Linked DNA regions of Rattus norvegicus. The protein of the gene in region 1 interacts with the protein of each later gene in a biochemical or structural test. Links are inferred from orthologs where the notes say so. Each region holds a gene or a part of one and is shown in the gene's direction. Other genes may lie near its edges.

What was found.
Region 2: the proteins of Mc4r (region 1) and Pomc form a complex in vitro, tested with the Homo sapiens proteins (2 studies listed by BioGRID). The link is inferred for Rattus norvegicus from reciprocal best matches to the Homo sapiens genes MC4R and POMC.

What each region holds. Positions count from the first base shown.
Region 1 is NC_086036.1:62,687,925-62,695,365, reverse strand, and holds Mc4r (melanocortin receptor 4), read left to right. Parts: upstream 1-3,680; 5' UTR 3,681-4,088; coding exon 4,089-5,087; 3' UTR 5,088-5,568; downstream 5,569-7,441.
Region 2 is NC_086024.1:32,655,620-32,663,659, forward strand, and holds the start of Pomc (pro-opiomelanocortin precursor), read left to right. Parts: upstream 1-3,733; 5' UTR 3,734-3,829; intron 3,830-6,812; exon of another isoform or gene 6,813-6,973; 5' UTR 6,974-6,992; coding exon 6,993-7,124; intron 7,125-8,040.

The sequences.
Region 1 (7,441 bases):
ATATGCAGGCACATGGATGGACCTAGAAAACACATCCTGAGTGAAGTAACCCAGACCTAAAGGACATGCATGGAATGTACTTACACAGAGTGGGTATGCATGAATCTCAATCAGAAGGAGAAATAAAACAGTCATCAGAGTTGGATGGAGGAAGGGAACCGGGTGGAAGAGGAGAGGAGATGGGGGGGGGTGGGAGGAATAATCTGTAGGGAGAGCCAGGAAGAGAGGGCAGGGAGACTGAATAGAAATTGGGGGTGAGTTGGAGGTAATCTCTAGGATGGGCCAGAGACCTGGGATGGGGGAGGCTCCAGGGAGTCCATGAGGGTGACTCTAGCTGAGACTCCTAGCTGTGGGGATAATAGAGCCTGAAGCGTTTTGTTTGTTTTGTTTTGTTTTGTTGCAATAAAGTTTTCAAAAATATTCTCAGTGTTCGTGACATGGCTGGTTATATAGTTCTGGTTCACAGTATAAAGGAGAAACAGAATAAAATGTCTACTTAGAGGTAGGTAATCTTTTCAGCATGACTTACCATAAATCTACATTTATACTTAATAGATAAAAATGAGATTTTTATAGGTATTGGATTTTTATCAGATTTTCATTTGATCCTAATGTCCGAAACCAAAACCTTCTTCATGAAAACACAGAAAAGGGAGTATGCAGACACTTTGATACTAATGTGTACTTTACTGGTTTAAAATTTACATCATCTTATTTAAATTTTCATCCAAGTCTTTTTATTTCTTTATTTCTTGAATGAAAAGCTTTTTTTAAAGGTGTGGGAAAAACTACAAAATAGTTAGTCATTCATCTAGAAGTCTGTTACAGGGGATGGTTGATAGAGACTAATCTAATTTAATTATTTTAACATAAAAGGTAAGGATGAGAAATAATCTTAGTAAAAAATACTAAAGTAAGGACTAGTGAAAAAAATCCCTCACCAAGTAAATCCATACCACTAGCAACATGTGTTAACATTATAATATATACAACATGAGACAAATTAACTAATGTGCCAAGCAATTTCGGAAGAAGCCAGGAAACCACTAAATTACAAAAGTTTAAAAAGTGAACTTTGTGGCTTTTTAACCAGCTTGGTCTGTGTCCTTGAAAATCAATTGCCAGAAAGATACCAAAAAGCATCTCTTACCAGGAAGTTTAGAGGCAACCTGACTTGTAAGTCCTTAGAAACCTCTTAGACTCTTTACGGAGAAGCAACTCAGCTTACCTGAGTTGAACCCCCAAAGCCAGACTTCCAGGGCTTTTTCCTGACCCAGAATGTGCCCTCTAAGAATAGACTTTGCCCCCAGTGGCATTCCAAGCAACTGTTAATCTTATGGTTGCCTGACATGTTGGGTACAACTTAGAGAAAAGAGCTTAAAATTTTAAAGGCAAGTGAGGGAAGAGGGTCTCCATAGAGACAGATCAAATGAGCTCTGAGAATATAAAAAGTTGTGCTGCTTGTAGAGCTCTGCATAAGGTCTCGAAAGAGCTGAGAATGCCCTAAGTCCTCACCTCTGGTTGATTTCTCCTCTGTGCAAACAGAAGTAAGGGGAGGGAAGGCTGCCAAGGGAGGGGTTGTAGCACAGTGCCGGTTTGCTTCAACACACAAGACTGGGAGACTTCCTGTTTGTAGCTGCCTTAGTCCTTCACTCACTGACCAGTAAGGTCACAAATCAGATGATTTATTGGGCACACGAGACAGACCAGTGTAGACCTCCCTCTAAGTCACCGGTGAAGCAACAGCGGCAACCAACCACCGTAACGAAAAGCTTTCCGTAAGAGGTAAATATGGTTTTCAGAATAGCTGCGACATACCCATATGTCCAGTTCTGAACAAAAATGAAAAGAAGTAGGAAAGGAAATAAGAAGGTATGACTGGACATAGAGGGGAAAGTGGCCATTAAAAGTTATTCTTGGGAAAGCCTCTGTGTGCGAGAGTCTTTAAGCCAGTTATGACGAACACCTCCTATCACACCTATAGGAGTAACATTTCATCACAGGCGACTTCAGTAAAGCAATATAAACCTTCATGATGCTGGGGTAGCAAATGCTTTCTTCGCTGTGAAAAACCCAGACCTTCTGTGCCCCGAGAGGAAGGGCACAAGGGCAAGAGCTACTTAGAAAGATTATTCAGGTAACCACGTGATGCTTCTGTGGATTTCTTCTCTATCACTCATTCACGGGTTAGATAACTCCCCATGGGAGAAAGTGTGAAAGGGAAAACAAATACGTAAATCATCCTTCTTAAGGGCTCTAGGAAAGTGTCTGGAGGTGATTGCTGTCAGATGCTGTAACAGCTGAACCACTTGGGGGTTTACAATAGTCAAAGCTGTCCCTTGTTTCTAGGACATTGAGGGTAGTTGGTCAGCTCAAGACGGAAGGTATGCAGAGGGGGGCTCTTTTCTGTACAGTCACTTAGTAGGGGCTTCTATGCCATAAAGCTTCTAGAAACTCTGTAGTCATTTGCCAGACAGGAGAAAGAGCAGAATCAAGAGGAAGGTGGCCCAATGTGTACCAACTTCTGTACTGTCTATTAGCCAGAATTCAGTAGTAGGCTCTACTCAGTTCCAGAGTTGCATGGCAACCCTAATTTAGCACAGTGTTCTGAAGCAGTGGTTAGCATGGTCTCTAACACACACACACACACAGACACACACACACACACACACACACACACACACACACACACACACGCACGAACGCACACGAATGCACGCATGCACGGAACGGGGAGGGGGTAGGGTTGGGCGTTCAGAGCTAAGCGCCAATCTCTTCACAGCAGCAGGCATGAATGTGCACCCACTGGCCCTGGCCTGAGCAAACACACAGCCGAACTATGTATTCATAGTTTCAATGTGTGAAACTGTGGAAGAAAAGAAATTAAACAAAATTAAAAAAAACCAACAGAACTCTATCTTTCAAAAACAACCAACCAACGACAAAACCACCACAAAATCCTATCAACCAAACAATAGCAACAACAACCAAAAAAAAAATTTTTTTTCAGAATATTGTCACGTTGTTGATTTGTCTAAGTTCACAGTCAATAGGCTTTTATTAATGCCACTGGAACTTTTTAAATACTGTGAATACAAACTTTTCCAGCTGTTATAGCAGAAACTGCAAATGGACAAACAGCTACCAGCACGCCAGAAGTGAACCCAGTCTTCATCTCTGGCTGTGCCGTAGTTCCCCACAGCATACCCATCTGTCTAATTAAACCCTGCCTGCATTTCTAGTCTTTCAAACTGAACCTTCGCTCATTCAGTGGGGATCCTGGGCAGAGGGGCAGCGTCTGCGTCAGGAGCCAGGACAGAGTGCTTTTCATTTTTTTATCCGCGCGCGCATACTTGCAGCCCCGTCTCAAGGAGTGAGCCTGGCTGATCCTCGAGGATTTAAGGAGTATCACAGGATGTGCTCGAACAATCAAGTCATTTCTCTTAAAACTTGGAAAGGAAAATCCAGTGTCTTACAGGCTGCTTCCTTCCCACCCCAGCAGCCCTGGCCATTGAGCTGGGTGCTGCCCTGTAATCAATCTGGGCAAGATCGATGTCTCAGAACCACTGAGCCTGGATTGGTCAGAAGGAAGCAGAGGAGGAGCCATTCAGAACAGTTCCCCCACCTCCGTAGAACCTAAGAAATCAGCAGCCCGCACCAGGCTGCGCTGGCTCACGGGGATGCTCGGGAAGCTCAACTTCTGAGAGGCTGCGCTGTGAGTGTGGGCGCGCAGATGCAGACGCGGCTCCCAGCTCTCCAGCGACTCTCAGGAAAAGGACTCTGAAAAGACCCCGAGTGAATACTACGGCTAAAGGGAAAGCCACAAAAAACGAACTGCAGACTGGTCAGCCGAGAGTGAGCTTTCAGTAGCGCCAGCTTCTAAAGAAATGATGAGCAAAGCTGAACCCAGAAGAGACCAACAACTCCTTTGCAAGCTCCGCTGCTTCTGACCCTGTTCACCGCAGGCGCCAACTGCAGCCTCCCAACTTCTACAGGCAGACAGGCTGGGAGAAAAACCACTCGGGGCTTCCCTGACCTAGGAGGTTGGACCACTTCAAGGAGGATTCGAATCCAGCTGCTGCAGGAAGATGAACTCCACCCACCACCATGGCATGTATACTTCCCTCCACCTCTGGAACCGCAGCAGCCACGGGCTGCACGGCAATGCCAGCGAGTCTCTGGGGAAGGGGCACTCAGACGGAGGATGCTATGAGCAACTTTTTGTCTCCCCCGAGGTGTTTGTGACTCTGGGTGTCATAAGCCTGTTGGAGAACATTCTAGTGATCGTGGCGATAGCCAAGAACAAGAACCTGCACTCACCCATGTACTTTTTCATCTGTAGTCTGGCTGTGGCGGACATGCTGGTGAGCGTTTCGAACGGGTCAGAAACCATCGTCATCACCCTGCTAAACAGTACGGACACGGACGCCCAGAGCTTCACCGTGAATATTGATAATGTCATTGACTCTGTGATCTGTAGCTCCTTGCTCGCATCCATTTGCAGCCTGCTTTCCATTGCAGTGGACAGGTATTTCACTATCTTTTACGCGCTCCAGTACCATAACATTATGACGGTTAGGCGGGTCGGGATCATCATCAGTTGTATCTGGGCAGCTTGCACAGTATCGGGCGTTCTTTTTATCATTTACTCGGACAGCAGCGCTGTCATCATCTGCCTCATTACCATGTTCTTCACCATGCTGGTTCTCATGGCCTCTCTCTATGTCCACATGTTCCTGATGGCGAGGCTTCACATTAAGAGGATCGCTGTCCTCCCGGGCACGGGTACCATCCGTCAGGGTGCCAACATGAAGGGCGCAATTACCTTGACCATTCTGATTGGAGTGTTTGTTGTCTGCTGGGCCCCGTTTTTCCTCCATTTACTGTTCTACATCTCTTGTCCTCAGAATCCATACTGCGTGTGCTTCATGTCTCATTTTAACTTGTATCTCATACTGATCATGTGTAACGCTGTCATCGACCCTCTCATTTATGCCCTGCGGAGTCAAGAACTGAGGAAAACCTTCAAAGAGATCATCTGTTTCTACCCCCTGGGAGGCATCTGTGAGTTACCTGGCAGGTATTAAGTGGGGACAGAGTGCATACTAGGTAGAGACCTGCAGAATTTGTCACTCAGGCACAACCTGAGCAGTGTACTTCCCAACAGCTGCCTCTACTGTATAGTGCTTTGGTTGGAAAATATCTACTGTATAAAATGTAAGTTTATGACTTTTGACGTGGGGAAAAAGTCTCAACGTGTTATGTTTATTGACCTTACTTTTTTTGTGTGTAAACTGCTTATTTATGTTCTACAGCGTGGGCGCTATGGAGTTCCATAAAAGAAAAAGACACCCTTATTAAAACTTTGACAGTGTTTCTTTCCATGTTATTTATCAAGAGTCAACCCTTGTTCTTTCTGTGGTAGCAGAAATCAGAGCCTTCTGAAAAGCTGTTTCCATTGCATCACCCCCACAGCACAGCAGAAGCCTGATTCCACTGTTTATGGGGAAATATTTAAACACTGGATGCTCGATCATTTAATGAGTCAGCTCTACTCGTGAAATTTCAAGTAACTGAATAAATGCTTACCTATTATCCTTTCTGTTCAAATATACCGATGCTTCTTTTTAAATAAAAGGGAAAGGGGGGGGGAGAGAAGCAGCTACTGAGGAGAAGGTGAGATTTCAGACACATGCCTTTCCTCTCCAAGATGGAAAGATTCACTGCCCGAGACTCGGAGCTCACAGAGGCAACTCAGCTGGGGTAGAGGAAATGCCCACTATTAATGTAAACTGCCCATGCCATGCTGAAATTCCCTATGCCAAATGATGCCCCACTCTAAGTGTCCAAACAGAATGAATTCTTTCTGGCCTCTTACCAGGGATCCTGTTTCTACAGAAGCATCCAGAAGAGTTGCTTCTGGACCGAGAGGTCCAGCATTCATTTCATCTTAGAGTTGAGAATGAGTTATGTTATCTCTCATGTGGCGGGGACTTCTTGTTCCCTTTCTGATCATTTTTTGAGCTGGGCTCGAAGTGCTGAAGATCAAGCACTTTAATTCCCAAGCCAAATCCACATCACAAAACGTTTTGGGACAGCGCTTGTAAATATCTACCCATGTGGGACCCTGTGGTTCTTGCGCATAGTGAGAAGGTAAGAAGACACACATGGGGTCCGGGAAAGGACAATAAAACACTCTGGTGTTCTTAGTCACATCTTGGGATTGGGAATGCTTGTTTCATCCAAAATACTACCAAAGGTGTGGTCACCGAGCAACCAAATCTATGCTTTCTAGTCTGTGTATACTTTGAAATAGAAGAGATAAAGTCTACACTAAGCCTATGATTAGAGGCAAACTTTCCTGGGATTTAATTGATAGTGTCTCCAAATACCCATAGGCAGAGATAACGCCTAGCAGTACATTCAAATTAAAATGTAAATTTGTCACCTGTTCGTCCTAAGCCTGAGACGCACTGAGGGCATTCAGGAGCGAGTACATACCAAAGTGTAATGGTAAGGCCAACTGTTTGAAGGCACTAACCTCTGAGGCACACTGCCACTGCATTCATAAGATTAGCTGAGCATACAATCAGCTTGTGTGTTGACCTTTCTTCCCAGAAGGAAGAGGGTAGGGTGTGTCATTGGATCTTCTGTGTAGCCACTCATTCTTCCCAGCCATTCATTTGTGTGTAACTTGGACATAACAGAACTCAGGTGAGAAGAAAAGGGGGGAGAGGGTGCCACCTATGTAGCTGTGGGGAAGCTGTCATCCATGATGAGAGAAGACTGGCCAGTGTGACTGCTTTGTGGTCACATACACAATTGTGTCAGCAACCCTTCACCCATGCTCTTTAAGTAAGCCTAACAAACTCATTGGGTCTCCAGCATGAATGTTTCTGGAATCATATGTGGGTCTGTGAGTGGACCCATAGGAGGAAGGGGGAGATATCGTTCATGTTTCCCCTAAGGAAGTAATTTTCACAACAGCACCATTAACCAATGGTTCTAAGACTGGGTTTTAACCACACTACAGTGCTTCTATTTTAAACAAAAATGAGTGTCAGGTTTCTTATAATCAACAAAGCCTGCTGAAATTTGGATCTGGAATGTTCTTCTAAGGTTCATGCAGGAAAGACTTGCTCTCCATGGTGGTGCTACTGGGAAAGGGCAGAGTCTTTAGGTGACCGGACCTAATTGGAAGACTTCCAGTCCTTAGAGTGTATTCTTGAAGGGGACAGTGGGACTGTGGCTCATGCTCTTGCTCTCTGAGGCCATAAGATGAGTGCTTTGAGTCCAGCAGGAGCTGCTTCTCCATGAAGAGCTGCTTCACCACAGGGCCAGCACAATCAGGCTAGTCAGTCTTCTACTGTAAAACTCCAAGGCTAGCCAACTTGAACCTTTCACACTTTATAAATATCTCAAGTGTTTTTGATGGTCATCA
Region 2 (8,040 bases), on another chromosome or scaffold:
AACTAAATGGTAATTTTAAAACTTAAATACTAAGAATTGCAAGATGCAATTAAGAAGAACCTTCTTAGAAAGACATTTATGGCCATATCTACATATGCAAAAAAATAGAGGTTCAATGTCAATGATATAAGTAAAAACAATTGCTTCCTGTCCGACTTGAGTAGAGAAAGATTAGCTAACCAAGCATGTAGAAAGTAGAAGGAAGTAACAATTAGTAGAAATTTCAAAAATACTTCTGAACAACACACATGCAGTAGACAGAATTAACAATACCAAAGATGACTATTGTAAAAATAAACTTATAAAATTGATATACATCTGTCTTAGTTAGGGTCTTATTGCTGTGACCAGACACCATGACCAATGTAAGTTTTATAAAGGACAACATTTAATTGGGGGTGGCTTACAGGTTCAGAGGTTCAGTCCATTATCATCAAGGCGGGAACATGGCAGCATCTAGATAAGCATGGTGCAGGAGGAGCTGAGTTCTACATCTTCTCCCAAAGGAAGCCAGGAACAGACTGAGCATCCTCAGGCAGCTAGGAGGAGAGTCTCCAAGCCCACCCCCACAGTGACACACTTCCTCCAACAAGGCCACACCTTCTAATAGCGCCACTCCCTGGGCCAAGCATATGCAAACCATCACAACATCCAAGAAAAGGAGAATATAAATTACTAATACCAGACAAGAAAGAGGCGCACAACCAGAGTCTTCAGATGCTAAGGACCTGATAAGAAGCTATAATTAGACTAGGGATATATCTCAAATGTGTGAAGCCCTGGGTTCAACCCCTAGTTCCACAAAAAACAAAAGACTCCCCCAAACAAACACAACAGAAATGGAAGCTATAACATGCCAATTTTTTTTTTTCCGGAGCTGGGGACCGAAACATGCCATTTTTTAAGCCAAAAACTTAAAGAATTTTTGTGAAGTGAATAAATTCCTGGAAAAAAAAAACACCTTATTCAAATTGGAACAAGAAGAAATAGACAACGGGAATAATATTAAGGAAGCAATTGAATCTTCAATTGCTAAATAAAAACTGTTCAGCAAGCCAGGTGGTGGAGGCAAATACCTTTAATCTCAGTACTTTGGAGTCAGAGGCAGGTGGATCTCTGTGAGTTCAAGGACAGCCTACTCAACAGAATGAGTTTCAGAACAACCAGGGCTACACAGAGAAACCCTGTCTCAGAACACCCCTTCCTCCCAAAAACATCTTTCCAATAAACAAAGCAGACATCTTAGAAGCCTGGAAGCCTTCATGTGCGAAGCACTTTTAACATTCAAGGAAGACATTATAGCACTGTCCTTGGCTGAGTTAAAACAAGGAGAGAGATTTCAGTTTGTCTTGTGAGAACAGTGCAAATTTGATACCAGATTTGACAAGAGCTTAAAAATAAAAAGGAAAATTAGAGGCCACACTCATGAAAGTAGAGGCAAAAGTCTTAATTAAAATGCTAGTTATATAAGAGACACTCATCATCGTTAAATTGTGCTTCTTTGAAAGCACAGTATGTTAAACGTTGGGAAAGCAATCAGCAGTGTCCTAAGAACTCGCTACAGTATTACACTAAATGAGGAAAACTGTATTGTTTGAGGCTTTCAGAGGCACCTACTCCAGGTTATCAAAGATGTTGATACAAAGGCAATGGAGACCTTTTCCTGGTGACACCCATGTTCAATGCCTGTGTGGTGACAGTATCTCCTGTGTCTTTTTGACCCTGGTTCTGCTCTGGTTTTCTTTTCTTTTTAAAATCTTTTATTTATTTTTTTAAAAAATATTTATTTTTATTTTATGCCCATTGGTGTTTTGCCTACATGTGTGAATGTATGGGAATGTCGAATCCTTGGATCTGGAGTTTAGACAGGTATGAGTTGCCATGTAGGTGTTGAGAATTGAACCCAGGACCTTTGGAAGAACAGCCAGTGCTCTTAACCACTGAACCCTCTCTCTCTAAGCCTTGGTTTTCTTTTCTCCTTTACTGAGTTTGGCCATGGGTCCAGCCACCCTTGTCTCCTGCCCTCCCCCACCTTTATGTCCTATAGCCCAACCAGTGTTTCCTAATGTGGTTTAACAGCTTTTCAAACTTTTCAGTTCATATTGGGCAAAGCAAGTTCTCCTATGTATAATTAGGAGTCCAGATGATAGTTAGGCCAACCCAAACCTACCTTGGTTTGACTCCAATGCAAGCAGCCTCCTAAAGTCACATCCATAAAGCAATGGACAAGACAAAGAGCACTGCCAAGCCTGGTGCTGGTTAGGGCAGAGGTGGATGGGAGGTCAGAGACAGAAGTGAATCAGTTCACGTATAATAAGCTACTGTACAGATGAGACAGGAAAGGGGTTCTCTGAAGAAAGGAGATCGTTTCTAAGGCTCCTGGTAGAAATAACCCAAAGTGGCTTAGTAAGAGCCAGGTGATACTGGAGAGCTAGACCGTCATAGGGATCTGAGTTACCTCATCGGAGGGACACAGGGTGCTCAGCTTCCAGGGAACACTCAGGGAGGTAGAGGCAGAAAGAAGCACTCACGGAATATGAGCATTGGGGTTAGCTGACGTCCAGGATATGAGTTGGACAGCAGGTAATCATCCCAGAAAGAGGTCAGAGCCATGTGACACAATCCTTATTCACCATTAGGGAGCTTGGTGCATTCTCTGGTGCCACAAAAGGAAAAGATTTTTGGAAGCAAAGTCGATACTGCCAATCAGAAAAGCTGAACTCTCAAGGGACCCCCTGGAGTCCCCCAAACAAAACAAAGCAAATAGACAAACAGACAGTGTCTAACTGGGGAGTGAAGTTCCTTCAACTGGTAGATTAAACAGGCACCGGGACTGGTCTGATCCAATCCTAGTCCCCCTGCCAGTCACAGCTCTCTTCACAGGCTTTGCTCTTTGGCACACAGGCCTGTTCTTTCTTCTGTTTTGCCCTGTGAGTTCCCAGCCAAGCCAGAACGCCTGGGCCTGGCCACACGGTGAAGGCTGTCAGACAATCCCCAGGCCATTCTGCCAACTCAGCCCCAGAATGGCTTCCACTTCCCTCCACAGAGTGCTGCACCTCCTGGTTAATAGTCTGAGGCTGGCAGGACCTTTCCCTTGGAGTTTGGGCATCAAAGGGCACCTGTCTTGGAATAAGTATTGGGGATGGAGACAGACTGTACAAACTCACTTGCACACACTCCCAAAGGTAGCCTGCCTTGGGCTGCCATGATTCTTGACAGCCTCTGTTGTCTCCCTTCTCGAAACGAAACAGAGATCTTGATTTCACAAGACTCCATACTTTCCCAACACTGGGGAAATCTGATGCGTAACAGACCCCCTCCTCATTAGTGATATTTACCTCCAAATGCCAGGAAGGCAGATGGACGCACACAGGTAATTCCACTCCATTCTGTAAGACCTCAGAACTAGGCCTGCCTCACACCAGGATGCTAAGCCTCTGTCCAGTCCTGAGTGGAGATCCAACAGCATCCTTAATTAAGTTCCTCCTGACCACCGGGGCCAGGTGTGCGCTTCAGCGGGTCTGTGCTAACGCCAGCCTCCGCACTTTCCAGGCACATCTGCTGTGCGCGCAGCCCCGACCGGGAAGCCCCCCCTCCCGCGGCCCGCCGCCCCCCTTCGCGTGGCCGGGGATTCGCTTGTTGCGTTGCAGAAGCGCTGCCAGGAAGGTCACGTCCAAGGCTCACCCACCCAACCCTGCAGGTATAAAAGAAGAGAGAAGAGTGACAGGGACCAAACGGGAGGCGACGGAGGAGAAAAGAGGTTAAGGAGCAGTGACTAAGAGAGGCCACTGAACATCTTCGTCCTCAGAGAGCTGCCTTTCCGCGACAGGTAAGGGTGTCTCGGCTCCTGACGGCTCTCCTACGCTGAGCTCTGTCCCCGGACCCTGGGATCCCCAGCAGGCGGTAATGCAGACTGGCGTTCTGGCTTGTAGCGGACCTGACCTCTTCGCAAACTTTCTGAGACGTGAGAGAGCTGAGCCCGGACGATGGGTTGGCAGACTGCATTGCTCCAGAGAGCAGGTCTGTGGCAATTCCAAAGACCGCCAGCGTCGGGGTCCCAGGGTCCGCATGGAGGAATGAAGCACTGGGAGGCTTAGGATTGTCTTAGACTCCGACTGGCCCCTGGGGAGATCTTGGGAGAGTTCCCCCTTAGGTTTCTCCTCCCTATTGTTTGGACTTTTATATATCTTCTTTAAGGCAAGAGACCATATATACTGAGCACACGTTGGAAAGATAGCGGGAAAGAAGGGCGAGCCACAATAAACTCCTAATAGTGGAGTTCACTTGTTATTGCTGTAGAGATCAAAACCCTCGCCTCCCTGCGCACCTTAGCAGACCTGATGTGGTTGCGTTGCGATAATTGTGTGGGTTATAGGAAAGGACGGTAAGTAAGTGGGCTCTTCTTTCCAAAATCCAGCTCAGATTAAAAACAGGGTGTGGGGCGGGAACTGTCCAAGGTCCTGAACCACTCCATCTAGTTTCGAAAACCTTTAAAAAACCGTGGGGGCGGTGCAGCAAGTTGTAAGGACCCAGACTCAGGCAGAGGACATTTCAAATGGAGAGAAAGATCCCCCAAGTTCTCCGTGCGTAAACCAGGGGAAGCTCTCACAGGATGGCTGGAAGGAGTCGAGTGAAACGAAGAAAAGTTTGTCAGTTTATGAAATATGCACAGACTAACGCCTTGTTTCCTGTGGTATTGTGGAAATTGAAGCATACGCACCGTGTATGGATGAAATCGCATCTTTGTGCCTCTGAGCTTTATAGACAGGTTATCGGAGTCACTTTGAGAGCAGAAAATATAAGGCTCTTCTGAGTTCAGAGAATTTTCTGGGGCCCTAATAAGTGTAGTTCTATCGAAATGAATAAATCGTAATCTTCTGTCTTCCAGAGCTGTTAATGACTGGAACCCGGCACTCTCTAACCTATAAAAAGCACAGCATTTGACATTTCCCCCAATACTTTTGATTTTTCAAAAAAAAAATTGACACAAATAAGGCGTTTGTTTCATTGTGGAAAAAAGGGGGACATACAAATAAAAAGCTGGGGAGCTCTGGGAGTGGGGATGAGAATTTCAGCACACAATAGGTGGACTAGGAAGAGAGGGCACGATTTTGAGGGCCTGAAATCGTGACTGTCTCTTCTTCAAAGATAGACCTCATTCCATGGTACCCAGCTTTCAAGACAATGGAAACTTAGTTGAGAAGTCTATCAGACTTGCATGATCTTATTTTTCTTTACTAATACGTTTTTCATGCTATTTACCATTTTTTCCCACCTTCCTATCTGGGGGGACTTTGTGATCTCAGCATTTTGAGCTAATTGGCTGCTTGTCTGAACCTGAGCCCCAGCAAGGGCAACAAGTTTGCTTCTGGTCTGAGGTGTGGCCCACACAGCTCAAATGACTGCTAGCGTCTACTAATGGTAGTTCTGAAAAACAAAACAAAACAAATCAAATCAAAACAAAACAAAACAAAAAAACCAAAAAACAAAAACCACTCAAAGCTTGCAGGAAAAACCAGCTCTTGAAGACTGGCACAGGGTGGAGCAGAGAGGGGAGATTCTTGAAAGCTTTCATTTCCAAATCCTCCCTTTCAAAAATAAAGGCTTTTCTCCTGTCTCTCTAAATGAGATTTATTTTCTGCCATATTCTTCTTAAAATGCAAATGTTCACCAGACAATTAAGCCATTTACATATTTTTAATTCTTAAATTTTTTTTGTTTTTTTGTTTTTTTTCAAGACAGGGTATTTCTGTGTAAACTTAGCTGTTCTGGAATTTTCTCTGTAGGCCAGGCTGGCTTTGAACTCAGAGATCCTCCCGCTTCTGCCTCCTGGGTGCTGGGATTAAAGGTATGAGCCACCACTGCCTGGGTATTTACATTTCACTCTGACTAACTTTTCTAATTAAAGGTCTTCCTAATGGCTGGTAATCTGAAACCCAGAATGAGTGTAGAGTTGGTGGGGAGCTGATTACAGACTATGGTGACTTTAGGGATCCTTGGGTGATGGGGAACAGGTGTAACAAGCTAAGAAGCTAGCAGTGCTAGGGAAATGCTGGACGCCAGGGAGCCAAGGCACCGTGGTTGCTCTCTTCTGCCTGTTGGTGCCACATCTGCCCAGAGATGCTTTGCATTTCTTGACAGTATCTTAGTGGCTCTTCACTTCAGGGGCAGCTTCTTCACTGTGGAGGCAGCTTCCTTTCTGGTCTTCTGCCCGTCTCTCTGCCCTCAGTATTGACATCCTCTTCAAGGTCATGTATTTCAGACAAGACTTACATGTGTGGTCTGTATGTTTAGAAAACAGGGAAGTTTTAAAGGAAGTGGAATCTGCCTTAGAAAGAAATCTTCCCAAAGTTACTAGGATCTGGGAAATAACAATCACCAGGAGATTTGTGTATACAATATCAAATATTGATTAAGTGGAAGGGTTTTATTTGCCTGTATTGAAACCTACCTTTCATCGGAAGTGATCAAATTTTAGGTGAGAGGAACCAAGGCAGGACTTTCTCAATCCTTTGTCTTTAGTTATTCCCACCCTTTGGATATGGAGTGTTAACTGCAGCTTTTTCCAGGCAGTGAATTTAGAAGCCATCTGGGAATACAGGGAAGCTTACTTTTACTGCATCATGAGCACAAAAGAAATGATCTTTTGGGGTCATCAGCTTTCCCACCTCCCAAATGAGGGGCCGGACCAAGTGATATCCTAGATAGCCTCACCTCTGATTTTTTTTAAAAGTCTGATTTTAACAGGAAACAGAGAGGGAAACTGCCTGTAGTTTGTGTTGAGCCCTCTTTTCCTACCCCTCCTATGACAGCCACACGCATCTCCCATCTTCTGAGCCCTGCTCCTGTCCTCAGAAAGCCTTGGACTGTAAAGGTGAGAGCTGTTAGTGTTGGCTCAGAGTCCTTTCCTGGTCACTGGCCAGCATTGTTCTGCTCCTTGCAGGGGTCCCTCCAATCTTGTTTGCCTCTGCAGAGCCTCAGCCACCTGGAAGATGCCGAGATTCTGCTACAGTCGCTCAGGGGCCCTGCTGCTGGCCCTCCTGCTTCAGACCTCCATAGACGTGTGGAGCTGGTGCCTGGAGAGCAGCCAGTGCCAGGACCTCACCACGGAAAGCAACCTGCTGGTATGTGGGCCACGGACACCACTGTGGCTTGGGTGGAAGATGGCACCGGGATTAGAACAGATGGAAAGGAAGAGGGCTGTGGGAAGGGGTGACAGGGAAATTCATCTCCGTTAATTGGAGTGACTCGGAGCAGCAACAGAACTCTTTCTGTAAGGTTGGAATTAGGCAAAGGTGAGAAGGAGGTGGCTTCAGAGAAAGGGGTCTGGTTCATAATTTCTGCTCCATTATTCTCACCCACTCATTCTGTTTCTGGTGAGGAATCCTCACAGAAACTGAGTATACACAATGCCATATTAGCCAGGAGTGCTCCTTTAGTTGGTCCCGTATTTCAACCCTTTGGCTCCCAAATCAACCTCCCTTTAAATAGTGGAAACCTGCAAGTGCACTTCATATTTCTTCCCTCTTTATTTTCTCTCAGTTACAAAGCCAGTTACTAGTCGGGTATTTCCATATAACACCTCCAGAGGGAGAAGGAAAGACCAAAGTCCCCCCCCCCAAAGAAAAAAAACCCAAAAAACTGATGCCAAATATCTCACACTGCTTCTAGAAGGCAGGATTCCAGCCAAGTTCTTTTCCAGTCTTTCCTGCAGAAGCGTGTAAAGCTGTCAGGGGCAGGCTAGGGCCCCTTACACATCACCATGTGCATGCACATGCATGCACACAAGTGTCGGGTGCCTGCTACTACATCCTGTTCGATGTATCAACGGACAGCTGAGGCTAGGTGATGGAAGAGACCTTCTCAAGACATAAGAACAAGGTTCATGTACTTTAGACTCAGAAGGCCCAAGGAACCCTGGGTGATCCAGTTCAGAAACTGCCAAGGCTGTTGATTTGCATAGCCTCTCCTGAGATCTCACCAGGAAAGGGGTTGGTGTAGGAGATAAACAAGGTCAGAGTCCTCGGGTGACACCTCACA